Linked DNA regions of Struthio camelus. The protein of the gene in region 1 binds, or shares a complex with, the protein of each later gene. Links are inferred from orthologs where the notes say so. Each region holds a gene or a part of one and is shown on either strand. Other genes may lie near its edges.

The links. Proteins that work in one complex are often made in the same cells at the same time.
Region 2: MED16 (region 1) and MED21 share a complex: the UniProt entries of both Homo sapiens proteins name them as parts of the mediator complex. The link is inferred for Struthio camelus from reciprocal best matches to the Homo sapiens genes MED16 and MED21.

The regions. Positions count from the first base shown.
Region 1 is NC_090967.1:7,420,141-7,427,155, reverse strand, and holds the start of MED16 (mediator of RNA polymerase II transcription subunit 16), read right to left. Parts: upstream 3,017-7,015; 5' UTR 2,961-3,016; intron 2,382-2,960; 5' UTR 2,317-2,381; coding exon 2,181-2,316; intron 1,868-2,180; coding exon 1,760-1,867; intron 1,486-1,759; coding exon 1,316-1,485; intron 400-1,315; coding exon 1-399. Other genes in the region: R3HDM4 (R3H domain-containing protein 4), read right to left, coding at 5,479-5,582, 6,661-6,716, 6,853-6,938. UniProt on the Homo sapiens protein: Component of the Mediator complex, a coactivator involved in the regulated transcription of nearly all RNA polymerase II-dependent genes.
Region 2 is NC_090942.1:77,129,351-77,136,433, reverse strand, and holds the start of MED21 (mediator of RNA polymerase II transcription subunit 21), read right to left. Parts: upstream 3,007-7,083; 5' UTR 2,968-3,006; coding exon 2,926-2,967; intron 2,606-2,925; coding exon 2,491-2,605; intron 569-2,490; coding exon 468-568; intron 1-467. Other genes in the region: TM7SF3 (transmembrane 7 superfamily member 3), read left to right, coding at 6,463-6,547. UniProt on the Homo sapiens protein: Component of the Mediator complex, a coactivator involved in the regulated transcription of nearly all RNA polymerase II-dependent genes.

The DNA of each region.
Region 1 (7,015 bases):
GTGAGTGATTGCTGGATATTTGTCTTTGCGGGCAGGGTCTGTGGTGCAACGCATGAAAAGGGACGGCAGGATTTCAGTGTCTATTTTGCACTTCTCATTCACCACGCTGACGCAGACTTTGTAGAACTGGACAGGGGAGGTGCTGCTGCCATCTGACGTGGCCACCACAATGTTCCCACCGCCAGTGAAGGCAACATCTGCCAAGGCAACACGACAACGGAGACGGCACAGGCTCTCTGTGGATGTCAGCACCTGCCCATTGGGCTTGAGGAGAGATACTGTCACCAGACCACTGATGGTCACGGCAATCCAGCCTTCCATGGGCTTCCCGCCAAACAGAGTCAGGGACGGAGAGAACTTGACCCTGGAAAACTTCTCACCAAAGTTTGATGCTCCAGACTGTAAGAGAAGATAAATAACACAAGGACGTTTGTATCTGATATCTGCAACGCACCTACAACTGCATGGCTCTCCTCTAAGTCACTGCAGCATGGTCTGGGGAGCTGAACAGAGGCTGAAATCAGGGCATCGAGTTCATATGTCCAACTCTGTGCTGTGACCTTGCAGAAGCCCCTTTCTCCCTGGGTCAGGGCAGTTCTGGTTTTACAGGCAGCAGCAGGAACTTATCAACCCCTCAGCAAAGCTCTCAGAGCATCTCAGAGAGCTCCTACCTCATATACGCAGACTGAACCTGGAAGAGCCAATGCCCCCTCTCCCTTCTGCGGCCATTTCCAGCTCTGACACTAACCTATTGCACAGCCCCTTAAGTTTCTGTGCCTCAGGTCCCCGAGGTCTAAAGAGAGGGAAACATTTCTCTCATTGGAACACTGCAGAAGTAAACATTTTAAAAACGTAAGCAGGTAGCTTCTACTTGGCAGATTTTCTGTTTTGTGAGCCTGACAGAATTAGACATGTTGCTAAACAAGCAGCTTATCTATGTACGCATACAGCTGTCATTACCAAATCCCTGGATCAAAGCTCATGACCTGGAATGCATTTCTTCCACAATATCGCTGGTAGGCAAAGAAATGCTTTTTATCTCCCTTTTACAGCCAAGGACACTGAAGCAGACAGACTAAGAAAGACATGTTTAAAGCACCAAGAGAAACAAGGTATTTAATTCCTGCTGCAACTCAGCAGGAACTAGGAATCTGAGTTTCCTTTTTTGACTTTAAAAATTCCCCTGCTTGACCTGCCCAAGGTCACGGAGAAAAACCATGGCAGAGTAGGGTCATAAACATAGGTTTCCCAAGTCCTTTGCTAACAACCTGAGCCAGCTTTCCTCACTGGATCCCCATGCACAGCTGAGACAAACCTTTTCCACATGCAGAGCCAGCTTCACACCATTGTGTAGCCAGGACAGGGCCACAACAGGGTCTCCTTCCACCATACTGCCCACAGTGTTCTCCCAGCTGTTGGCCAAGTGATCAGTCATGCTCCAGCATTTAATGTGTCCATCTGCATCTGCCGAGAGGAGCCTGGAGCCTACAGTAAAACAGCCTCGTTAGAACCAGTGGGTACAGAAAAAAAATCACTAGGAATCAAGAAATCAAAATATCCCAGTGCAGATTTACCAGAGTCAAACAATTAATGGCTATGAAACGATGGGTGCAGTACAACCCCTAACGGCACATGCAGTCAAAACAGAAAGACTCACAAAATCCCTTTCTACAAGCTATCACGCACCATCGTTTTATGACCTGTGTGCGCATGAAGGAAGGGTGGAACAAAGGGATAATGAGAAAGGATCCAAACTCACCTGACTGATCCCATTCCAAACAAGTGATGATTTCAACGTGGCCAGAGTTAACAGAATAGACATCCCATGGATGCTCCGTGTCAATGATGTGGACCATGTGGGTGAGATCTGCATGAAGAGAGAAATGAGTCACTGTGCCTCGTTACTAACTCCTTAGCAAGTGTTTCTCAACCCACAGATCCTGAGCTGATGCAGGGGGAGCCACAGACTATTTTCTGTCAAACAATTATGGGAAGGACAATAACTGCGCTTGGCAGCTCAGGTGAGATAACTGGTAATAGTGCAGAACTCGCCCTGGTTCCGCAGAGCCTGAGAACCACTCACCAGTGAATGAAACACTCATTAAATCTCAGGAATGTTAGAAAAAGGAAGAAGCATAAGTTTCCATGTTACTGAGCAACCTTTCGCAAGCACGCTGTACCTTTTTCCTCCTCATTTTTGAGGTCTGTGGTGAAAGCGATCAGGTTTCTGCAGGACCAAGCACACACTAAGGGGATGGAAGGACAGTGGTTGCTTTTCGGCCTCTTCTCCCACTCACAGACATATGCCAAATCCATTGCGCCTCGGGTAACCCCCAGAGGCCCCGCTGGCCCATGGGAAGCAGACACACAGCTTTCGGTGCCTACAGAAAGCGGAAAAAGGTGCCTTTTAGATGCAAAAAACCCAGCCAGTTCTACAAGTCACAGACACAGGCCCAGTTAAACCAGCTCCCCCAGCGAAACCTGCCCGGCCCCAACAGCACCTCATCCGCAGGGGCCGGGCTGCCCCAACCCCCCCCCAGCAGCTGGGGGGGGAGGGGAAGGGCACAAGCCCCTCTGACAGGGGTGGGGGGGAACTGTCTGTTGTGGGGGGGGGGCTGCCCTCCACGGAGGGCTGGGGAGAGGGGGAGCTGCCCCCGAGGGGAACAAGGGAGGACACCCAACCCCTATACGGGGTGAGGGGGGGGAACTGCCCCCCTGGGGGGACTCCGGGCCCCTCGGGGGGTGGGGGAGGGGGATTTGCCCCCCCCGGGGTGAAGGAGGGGGAAGGGCCCCCTCGGGGCGGTCGGTGCCCCCCCCAAAAGGGGGGTAAGGGAGGAGGAACCGGCCTCCCCGGGGTGAGGGAGGGGTATCCGCCTCCGGGGGCGGTCGCTGCCCCCCGGGGGGGGCGAGGGGGGGGGAACTGCCCGGGGGGGGGGGGCGGCGGGAGCGGCCCCACTCACCGTCCGCGGCCCCGCGCCGCCTCCCGCCGCGCCGGAAGGACCCCGTCCGCCCCCCCGCCCCCGCCGGGCTGCCTGCCGCGCGCCTGTGCAGAGCCCCCGCCCTGCCCCGCGCGGGGCGCTCAGGCACTTGCCGCGGGCAGCCCGAGACAGAGGCCCCCTCGGCGAGACAGCCGTGCTAATTTACATAGAGGGCTACCCAGGATCCACCGGCGCTTCGGGAGGAATTATAACCGGTGGATTTGGACGAGTCTGGCGAAATCAAAGAAAAGTGAGTCATTTAGAATAGGAGAAGTTGTTAAGATGGCATTCAAAAGTGCCTAGTGACGCTACCTCTGTATCACCCTAACCAGTGTATTATCTAATGAGGGAGCTATAAATAGCTTCGGGGGGACACCGGGTTTCGTGCTCGCTTCGGCAGCACATATACTAAAATTGGAACGATACAGAGAAGATTAGCATGGCCCCTGCGCAAGGATGACACGCAAATTCGTGAAGCGTTCCATATTTTTTTCACCCAGCCATGCCTTTTCTCAGGCAGAGCCAGAAGAGGGTCCCCCCTCTGCTCCCTAAATTCCCCCCTCCTGCATCCCAACCTCTGCCCCAAACCCCAGCCCGTGCCCCAACTCCCAAACCCCCAGGGCAGCCCCAACACCATGCACGCAACACCAGCAGCCGTCAGGAGCACCATGGTTTATTGTTCCTGCGTAAACGCCACCTGTTTCCACATCACGCAAACAGACGAGAGGAGCGACGACTTTCCCGGCTTTCCCCCCCAGCCCCACTCCATCCGCGGCAGGCAACGGCCCAGCACGCCGCTGCCCCATCCTCAGCAGCGCTCCTCTGCCCGGCCGAGCGAGCTCCGCCGTCCTGCATGTCTCTAGCTGCTACAGACACGAGAGGAGCCCTCGACACATAGCAGAGACACGCACCAACACACAGGACACACAACACCCACAAGCACCCTCGCCCGTCCCGCACGACCACGCCGGGAGGCTGAGCCCTGCCCCAGCCAAGCAAGACGGGCAACCAGCAGGAGCTCCGACCACACAGCCTGGAGCTGTGCTGGCGCACACACACAAACATATAAAAGACACACTATGTTACATTTAAAAACAGCCCATTACCCCCCAAATATAAAAGGCAGGTCTGCGCACCAGCTTCTCACACCAACTGCAAACCAGAGCAGCAGCAGCAGCTCGGACCAGGCTGGCCGGGAGACCAAGGGGGCTCTGCAGGAGAGTTTTGCCTCCCGCTGCGGCGCTTAAACACCGGGGCAAGAGTCCCGGAGCTCAGACCGGGGAAGGGATGCCCAGTCCTGCTGCTCAGGCCCAGAGGCTTCCCTTTAGGCAGAAATCTCTTTCCCGTCCCTATCAACCCAGGTCCAAATGTTCTTGCTCCTCTGGATCACTCTCCAGTCCTTGGTCTTGGGTGTGACTCCAGAACCGAGGCAGCTCTTTTCTCACAAAGCTGCTTTCAGTCCCTTTACTGAGGAGATGGGCAGGGGCTGAGCTTTACCATAAGCTCCATCACTGGTGTCAAACTGCTGGTCCTGAAGCAAAGCACTTTCCCCTTCAAGAGGGCGACAGATCAGAGGCTCTTCCACTTGCTCAGCGTTTGCTCAGCCACATCTGAGCCGAGGAAGTCAGCAGCTGTGAGGAACTATTTCATCATAGAAATACCTGGGCCAAAATCACCCCGGAAGCATCACAGTGCCAAAGGTGGTTTTGGTCCAGCCTGCTCATTTTTAAAAGCATCTGGGCTATAAATAGACTCACAAACACTTCCAGGCAGAGCAGCTCCTGCTGGGAAATAGTGCAGCAACCAGGGAAACAGGGCAAGCACGGCAGATAGGCACCTGCTTTGCCCACGCCTTGCGCCCTGAGCATGGTGATATCTCACAGCACCATGCAGCCTGGAGTCTCTCTGCCAGATTAAGAACAGAGAGCGCTGGCCTGGGAAAAAAAAAAGACAATCTGGCCTCTGCAGAAAGCATGCCAGCAGCTGAGCAAACGCTTCCACCTTGGTGTGACAAGATGAGCAGGTCTCACCCCACCTCTCCACCCCTCGGCTGCACCCGGAGAGGCTGGGACGGCAGCGTGCACCATGTTCAGCCCTGCGCTGTCCAGACTGTGGTCACACCTCGTGCACGTGCCGGTGACCAAGCCTGTGGGCCGAGTCGACGTATTCCTGAGGGAATCAGAGCGCTGTTCCTCGGAGCAGGCCCGGGGCTACATTGGGACGGAGGGCATGGCTGCAAGCCCCTTGCTCTGCACCACGTATCGCGGCTGTCATCTCGAGCATCTGCTCTTGGAGGTGGGGAAGGGAAGAGCCCCGAAGCAGGGCACATGGAGGGAGCCGATCCACACTGCGCCTTGTGGTCCCTGCGCTGCGCAAGGGGAGAGGCGAGCGGCAGACCAGGCTTATCCGGGTGACAGGGACCAAGCGACTGGGAGAGGCCAGGAGCAGATGGACAAAGCCTTCAGCACACCAAGCGAGGGGCAGGGCATCCTTCGGCGTATCAGCTCATCTGCTCCAGGTAGTCTGAGAGCAAGAGCTCGGGGGGCAGGAAGACGCGGTGCTTGTTGCTCACTTTCATTTGGCGTTTCCCTTCGATGTCTGAACCTGGGGGCAAGTCAGAGCGGTTAAGGTACCACTGTCCCTCAGCCAGGGGGTCCCACAGCATCCTGCTGCAGGAAGGTGCCAAGTGGGACATCCCCGGCCCAGCTGCAGCTCTCTCCTCGCAGCTGCTCCACTCCTCCCGATGAGTCCCTGCAGCTCATTTCTAACAAAGGTTGCCCCATGCTCTGCAGAGATGCAGAAAGAGCAACGGTCCGCTCTCCCCACACATCCCTGCTGGCACCACAGGCTTCACTTCACATCATTAGAGCTCTTCTGTCATTTTCCACAAGCAGCTGCTAATGAAATGCTGAGTGGCAAAGGTTCATTTGCAGAGGCAAAGACCAGCGCCTCTTGTAGGATGCCTTGGCAACAAGACCCTTTAAAGAAACCCATGGGCAAGGTGCAGGCATGGCTGCGCTCTGTGGGACGACACAGCAGCCGCAAGGAGCGAGCCAGGCAAGCATCCAAACCCAAAAACAAGAGGAGACGTGGCTGCGCTGCTGGGAATGAGATGTCCCTAGGCAGAGCTGGGCCTGGCCACGACCATGGCGGATGGACTTCAGCCCACACAAGCCACACGCACGTGGCGTCCAGGCCGCTGAGCCTCTGGAGAGGCACAGGACGACCGGGAGCAGGAGGGACGCTCAGCCCAGAGTAAAGCCTAAATGGTGGGGACAAGGCGCAACCTTCTGTGCGAGGAGACAGCTCAGTCCCAAGAGGGGCTGAGCTCCCAGGATGTGGGGCAGGATCCAGCCCCAGTTAGGTCAGCCCAGGAGAGCTCCCTGCACCCTTGGCAAGGGCAACGCGGGCAAGGGGACTGCAGCCAAGGCAGCGCTGGGATTGCCTGACCCCGGGCCGTAACCGATGTCGTCCACCAGCCGCGGCTGCTGGCTAAGCAGCGTGAGCGTGGCTGAGGCTCCCGAAGGAGTTACAGGCAGTGGGGGCAGGAAAGCAGGGTTATCTGTGAGCCGCAGCAGAAGGTGGGGCTGGGAGGAGGAAGGGAGGAAGAGGCTGAGCTGGAGAGGAAAGATAGCAATGCAGAGAAGGGGAAAACACAAGCAAACAAGTGCGAGGCTCTTACTGGCAGAGACGAGGTCCATGTATTGGCAGAGCGCATGGAGCAGGAGTCGCTCGAAGCTGGAGGAGAAGGGGAACAGGAGAGTTAGAGCTGGCATGTCTCAGACCAGCATCCCCCCAAGTGTTGTCCTGCCCAGCTCCTCCCAGCAAACTCAAGGATCAGATACGGGGAGCACAAGGGAGACTGTGGAAATACCTGTTGTCCATCAGTGCTGTGTAGACTGAGTGAGGGGTGACGGAGAAAAAGGCCAGCAGCTCCTCCTCCAGGCACTCCAGGGTCCCCTGGAAGAGGAAGCAAAGACCGTCAGCACGGAGAGGGCAGCACTGGCAGAGCCCTGCTCAAGTCCTGCAGCAACAGG
Region 2 (7,083 bases), on another chromosome or scaffold:
CTTTAACAGTTAGTAACGTTGTAGGAGAACATAAGGCTTCAATAAAACATTGACTCTGCAGATACAAAACAAAACATCTAATGGGCAGAAGAATATGAAAGGTTATCCAAGAAAAAAAGCCAATGTTGCATCTGCTGTATTAGTATTTGAAAAGCTGGAAAAAAACACATAGCTGCTTAGAATACTGTGATGTTATCAAAAAGCAGATTTTTTTTTGAAACCCTTCTAAGAGAAAAATAAGTTTAAAATATTCACACTGCGTAGAATTTAATTAAGAACTAGATGCAAGAAGCAGGATTTCCAGTGAGCCTACACAGAATTCATCGTCTAACCTCATGAAAAATTCAGGCTTACATTGAAGCCATTTTTCAAAATTACATGGTCTGAAGAGTAAGAAAGTGTGCTGAAAGAAAGCAAGTAAGCTGTCTTCAGTTATGTTTTGATAGTTTAATTAAGAATGCTCTTACCTGCAAAGCAGCTGTCGATTCCTCGCTAGGCAAGGAATCTATTAGAACATCGATATCCTTTGCAGTTCGTGCAATCAGTGCTGCAAACAGTTGGGCGTATTCTTAAAAATAAATAAATAAATATCAGCCTACTCGATACATTATTAGAAATAAGCACAATTCTGCATATGGAGTACAGAATATTAAAAAGATCTGAAGCATTCAAGTGTTAACATTTCTCCTTGCACTGCTTCTTTTAAGAAATGAGAAAATAGCTAGAACTCCATCATGGTTAGCCACTTCAGAAATTACTAGTGAAAGGTATCAAGTGTCCTAGTCGCTACATTAAGTATTCAGAAATAGCTAGCAACTCATTTAACCTTTCAATCTTTGCCTTCAAATCTGCCACTATATATAAGAACACTAGAAATTACATGAAAATAGTAATAGAGATTCAAATGCACAGAGTAAGTTATTATGTCAAGGAACAGACCATTAGTGAAAGAATCTGAGAAGATTTTTTGAAGAAGAAAAAAGATCAGCCAGAGGAAAAGTTAATTGTCACGGAGAAAGGAAAAAGAGACAAGTTTGTAATAGATCTTATTTTGGCTACAAAAATCATATTAAAAGTGCATACAGTTCTTCCAAAGAAGCCCTATAAGGCAGAAAATCACCTTGAGTTTGACTTGGAAGTTCATAACTCTAGCTAAAATATTCAGACATCCCTCCTTAGCTTATAGCTTAAGATCTTACACATTTTATGTTGATTGCTTCCAAAGATCTTTCATGCAGCAAGACAAAATATTTTCTAATGGTAAGATCTATAGCAGAGATTGACATTCTCAGAGGTAGACTTGACTTTAATTAAAAAACAAAACAAAACACATATCATTAAAGCTTGCTCAGTGTCATCCCATATATACTCTTGGCCTGTAAACAAGTGTTCTATATGCTTTTAAGGCCTTCTTATCAAGACTTTAGCTATCTGAAGACATGCAACTAGTAGTTTAGTCTGGTCTGATCAGCATCGCTAACTTGGCTGTACGATTTTACTGAATTCACTTTATTCAGAGCTTCAGGACAAGACAAAACAAAAGATGATCATGGACTATGATTTTAAGACCTTAACAAACCTCTGAGCTCCAAAGTCGTCATGTTGATACTTAGTACCTGGGACAGCAGCTAGTGACGTGAGGAAGCGAGCCAACCTTTCGGCTACCTTCTCCAACTAATTCCCACACCAGAGAGCAAACCAATGAAGGATGAGACAACAGCTGTCCTGAAAAGAGCATCACTGTGCTCCAAACCAGTCTCCCCTGATATCCCAATAGTCAAATCTAATCTGATACAAGATACATGCAAATTTTCTCAGGAAAATACACAGCAGCCAAAAAAGAAATCATCATTTAGCAAAATGCTTTGACCAGAACATCCACAGAAGCATTGAAAGGTACCCAGGATTAGAATAACATGCTTATTTGATTACTAACTTTAAATTCTCAGATTGAGGAGAGAACTGTCTTTTAGTCTGCTTTCCAGTTGCAATGCCATAGATTAGATCCTTTTCTCTCAGCACCACCCCCAACCCCAAATGCCAAGAGGGCGATTTAACAAGGTAGTATTATTTAATCAATTAGATAAGCAGACAACGCCTGAAGAAACACAGGAAAAGTTAAAACTGTAAACGGAAAGTTTTAAACTCATGCATTATTTGATAAAAATTACACTCATTCTCAAAAACAAATTTTCAAAATAACGGACAAGTCAGTAAAAGCATCTCACAGCTGTCCTATTAAAGTCCTATTATATCTGAAGGCTTACTGTATCTGCACAAGAAATGCTTTTCAACACTCAGTTAACACACAAAATTCTTATACAGCACGTGCAGCTGACATCAATTTATGATTTGACCTGAATCACTCCTCCAGTTACTGCTGGAATAATGCTTGCTAAGCACAAAATAGAATACAAATCTTGAATTACTGTGCATACTGTACCAGAGCGTGTTCACCCTGAGCGGGCAGACCCAGAAATAAAGACTTGCCTTCTGTTGGATTAGCAGGCTGATCTTTGTTTATTGCTGTCTGAATGTTGCTGAAAGAGGCAGGGGGGCCACACTGCTGCAACACGCCGATGGCGTTACAGAACTGGTCTGCGAGCTACAGGCAGTAAAGAGAGGGTTAAATTACTTCAGTCTAAAGACATTTCAGGCTTATTTTTCATCCCAGCGGCCCTCAGGCAGCACAGCTGCCCCCCGGGGTTAGGCGGGAGCGCACCCGCAGCCCACGACCGCCAGGGCGAGCGGGGCCGCCGGGGCTCGGGGCCGCCGCCGGCTGTTGCGCCCTGACGGGGGCGGGGGGGGGGAAGCGGGAGGCGCCCCGCTCGCGCCCCCAACGGCCAACAACGGCTGGGCGCGGCGGCGGACAGCAAGGAGGGGGGTGGAGAAGGAAGAAAGCGGCGCCCCCGGCGCGGCACTCACCGAGTTCACCGCGTCCTGCAGCTGCGTTAACCGATCCGCCATAGCGCCGCCGCCGCCGCCGCCACCCCCCCGCCCCCACCTCCCGACAAGGCGCCTGGCAGCCGGCGCAGCCAATGGGACGCCTCGATGTTAGAAGGTGGGCGGGGGAGGGGGCGCCGCCTGGCGCGCCCCCTGCAGGCCGGGAGGAGCCCGGCGCTGCGGCGGGGCAGGGGCCGGGCTGGGGGCGCTGCGGTAAGAACCGGGGCAGCCCGCCTTTCAAAACGGCAGGAAACCACTTTCTTAGGCTTTTTGCTTCCTTGCCTTTGGTGCAGTTTGCAGCTGTTGACCCGCTTGTGCGGAGGCAGGCAGCGCACGCACGCCTGGGCTGTACAGAGACAACGCAGGCGCTTCTGCGGGGCTGCGGCCACAGCCCCAACGTCAAGTAATTACGTTTAGAAAGGTAGGCTCGGACCTTAGCCTGGGCCTTTCCTGCCCGCGGACCCTCGTGCCCGTCCACAGTCCTGCCAGCTTTGTTAGCTTCTGGATAACCACAAGTCTCTTTCTCTTCTGCCCACAATCAGGGTCATAGTTAGGTTAGTCTGAGTTAGTAACTTGAAAGCAAAAATTGGAGTGAATTTTTGTTAAGCTGCCTTCATGGTAAGAATGAGAAGCAGCTCTGCACATATCAGTAATATATCATAACACAAGTGTTACCTATGATGAATGCTTCAGAACAGATGTCTCTAATCTCATGGGATAGCAGCAGCTATAGGGGCATCCAGAGGCTGACTACAACCTTCTAGATAATTTGCATTCAGTTACAAGGGCCTTAGAAAGAACAGGTTCCCAAGGGCAAATCCAGGTATCATTAAGAGTCATGGTGAGCAATATCATTTTATTTTAATGGGACAAGAACTCGGCCCAGAATGTATTATGAGTAGTTCAACAGGGGCAAGTACTGAGACAGAAGAGGAAAAAGCACTATAAAATGTGCTATTCGGTATAGAACTGGCATTTCAAGTCAATTTATTTCTCTCCGAGACACAAGTACATACTCACGTGATATTGTAGTTCGGTAAAAAACTGAATTCTTGTATTATTGACAATAGAAGGCTGGTGAGCCACAAAGTGTACAGCTTTTGCTGTACAACAATCTTTCTGCCTCTGGATAAAGACAGAAGTAGCACTCTGATGGTCCACTCCAGCACTTGAGCTGAGTAGGTGATAATGTCGAGTGACCAGGAGCGGTAAAAAGCCAGGAGTGGTAATATCTTCAACAGTCCAGCTTACATTCAGCAGGAGTTTGCTATACCTGCAGGTTACCAAATAGGAAATACCAATTTGTGCAAGTCAGTACGCTGATATTTAGCTTTGGTCATTGAACAGCTAAAGATAAACTTACAGGATAATGATCCTGTCTGTGATACAAAATCTTCTGATATAGGTATTCCCACAGCATTCTCACTGGGAAGTTCAGGGAGTACGGACTGGATGAGATGGCTGTTAGATGGATTGAAAATCAGCTGGACCGTTGGGCTTCCAAGCTTGTAATCAATGGTTTGATGTCCAGTTGGTGGCTGATAACCAGCGTAGCACCCAGAGGGCCTGAAAGAGTTGGCTGATACTTTTGCTGTGGGAGACGACATCAAAAGCCTTACTGAAGTCTAAGTATTTTTACATTGCTAATCTTTGCTTGTCCACACCCCAGTCATTTAACTGCAGAAGGCAATCAGGTTGTTCAAGAATGTTTGGCCCTTGGTAAATCTTCACTGTCTGTTCCTGATTATCTTGGTGCCCGTCACCCGACTGGAAATGGATCCCAAGGGAAGGAATGTGCTCCTGGAGGTGAGGCTGACTGGCTGGTCTGTAGTTCTTCCTTCTCACCTATCTGAAAGATGGGTATAACGTTAGCTTTTCCCCAGTCAGGGACCTCTGCTGATGACCACGGTTATGGCCTTGGGAGGGCCCAGGTGAACATTAGGAAATCTATTCAGCACGAGGAGGGCAATGCGGCACTGGGACAGGTCCCGCAGAGAGGCTGTGTGCTCTCAGGCCTTCAAGGTCTGTATGACTTGGCTAGATGAAGCCATGGCTGATCTGATCTGGTGTCAGCCATAGTCTAGCTTCAAGTGAGCGGTTTAGCTAGAGACCTCCAGAGGTCTCTTCTGACTAACTTTTCTGAGAAGCTGCGAGTGCAGCCACCCAGCAGCAATGTGTCTGTGGAGGAATCTTCTTGAGGCTCCCCCAGCTACCCTCTTTGCCCCCATATTAACTACTCTGACAAAAGTGTGTTTCTAATAATATGGTCGGGCTTACACCCTTGATTTTGCTGGCCTGCATGCATAAACTAGGATGCGTGTTTTCTTCGCACTCCTTGGTTAAAAAGCCAAGTCACCAAAGCGCTATGTTGTATAGCAAAAAGTACTGCTCATTTTTAAGGGAGTTCCAGCTGTTTTGGAAATGAACGGGCTTTTTTTGGACTTCCACAATTTGAACGGATGCTGGCGTGAGCCTGGAATAAATGAGGCGCGCGGCATGAGACAAGCCTCTCTCAGGCTCTGTTCCTCTGCGACACGGGCAAGTAGTGTGCACGTGGAGCCGTGAACAAAGAACAGCCGAGGTCTCACCGCCGACTCTGACGGACAGTGGCTCAGAGCAAAGCGCTAAACCTAACAGTCTTTCAACGTTACTTATTTTGACCTAAGGAACCTTGTTGGGCAGAAGGAAAAAAAAATCAGTAAACTAGATATCCTTACTGAGACAGGCTGCCTTCCGAAGGACCTTAGGCAAAGGTAGGCAGAAGAGAGTTCACCCATTTGACTGAAATAACTATAGTCTTAAACATGAACCAGTATGCATCTCTTTGTTTGTTGGATGTCAGAATGAGAGCTTTATTTTACATTCTGTTAACTGAAAAATGGATTAAAGCTGGGGAGGGGAGGGGAGGGGAGGGAGGGTGATGGCGCACGGCTTACGCTTGCTCAAGGTTTAGGTTATTGCCTGAATTCATAAACGAGGCGCAGATATTCACGAGAGCAGCTTCGCATTGGCAAGAACTCCAAAGAGCAAGGGCGAGAAGCGGGAAGACTTTGAGTTTGCCTCCCGCTTCCCCTGTCCCGTGCGCATGAATCACGGCCGCAAGCGGAGGCGCCTGGGCCGGCTGCGAGAGCGCTTCCCGTGTGCGGGAGCGCTCCGCAGCACTTGACAAGAGCGCTGCGAAACAAACCGCGGGGACGTTAAGAAAAGAGAGAGGAAAAAAAAAAAGGAGGCTTTAAGAAAAACAGATTCCCCTCCCTCCCCCTCTCCCCAGCCTGGAAGCCTGGCCAAGCAGCAGCGGGCCGGAGGCGGCGGTTGGGCCGGGCAAGATAAAGAGCCGTGGGGGCGGCGGTTAGGACCGTTACCGCGGCCCCCGCGCGCTGGTCCGTGCCGTGCCGCCCCTCCCCCCGCGGCGTCTCCTCACGGCGGGCTCGGGGGCGGGCCGGGCGCCGCGGTGCCTCCCGCCGCCGCCTCCGCCTCTCGCCCGCTCTGAGCCGCCTCTCCGCTTCCCTCCGCAGCGCCATGCGACTGCCGCCTTGCGCCGTGGTGCTCCTGGGGCTCCTGGGGGCCCTGCGCGGCGTTGCTGCTGCGGCCGCCGCCGCCACAGGTGAGGGGGCGCGGCGGGCCACCTCATGGCGGCCGCGGGGGTCCTCTGCGGAGGCGGGTGGGCAGGAGCGGTCGGTGCGCGCCGGGCAGCGGGCGCAGCGCAGCGCAGCGCCGGTGCGAGCGCGGCCGACATGGCGGGGCCGTTGGCCGGGAGGGGAGAGGCCCGGCCCGGCCCTGCCCGGAACTCCTCGCAGCGGCGCCGGGCGCGCTGAGGCAGCGGGGACCTGGCGCTCAGGGTTTGAGCCTAAGCTAAGATCAAAGCAAAGATAGAGCTGCTTGAAGAGCTGAGGGGGGCAGGAGGGGAAAAAGAAAGGTTATCTTAGTCTTTGCTGATGTTGGCATAAAGAGTAGGTAGGGGAGAACTCATTCGACCCTCCCCCCCCTTCCCTTTTTAAGCAAGGAGGAGGGTTGAACAGCTCCACAGTCTCAATTGCTACAAACGCCATCATTTTAACTCTTAAGTAGGTTTGCTTGACTAATTTGTTGCGGTGGGCACCAGGGATGCGGTGGTGCTGATGAGTTTGGAGTATTATGCTC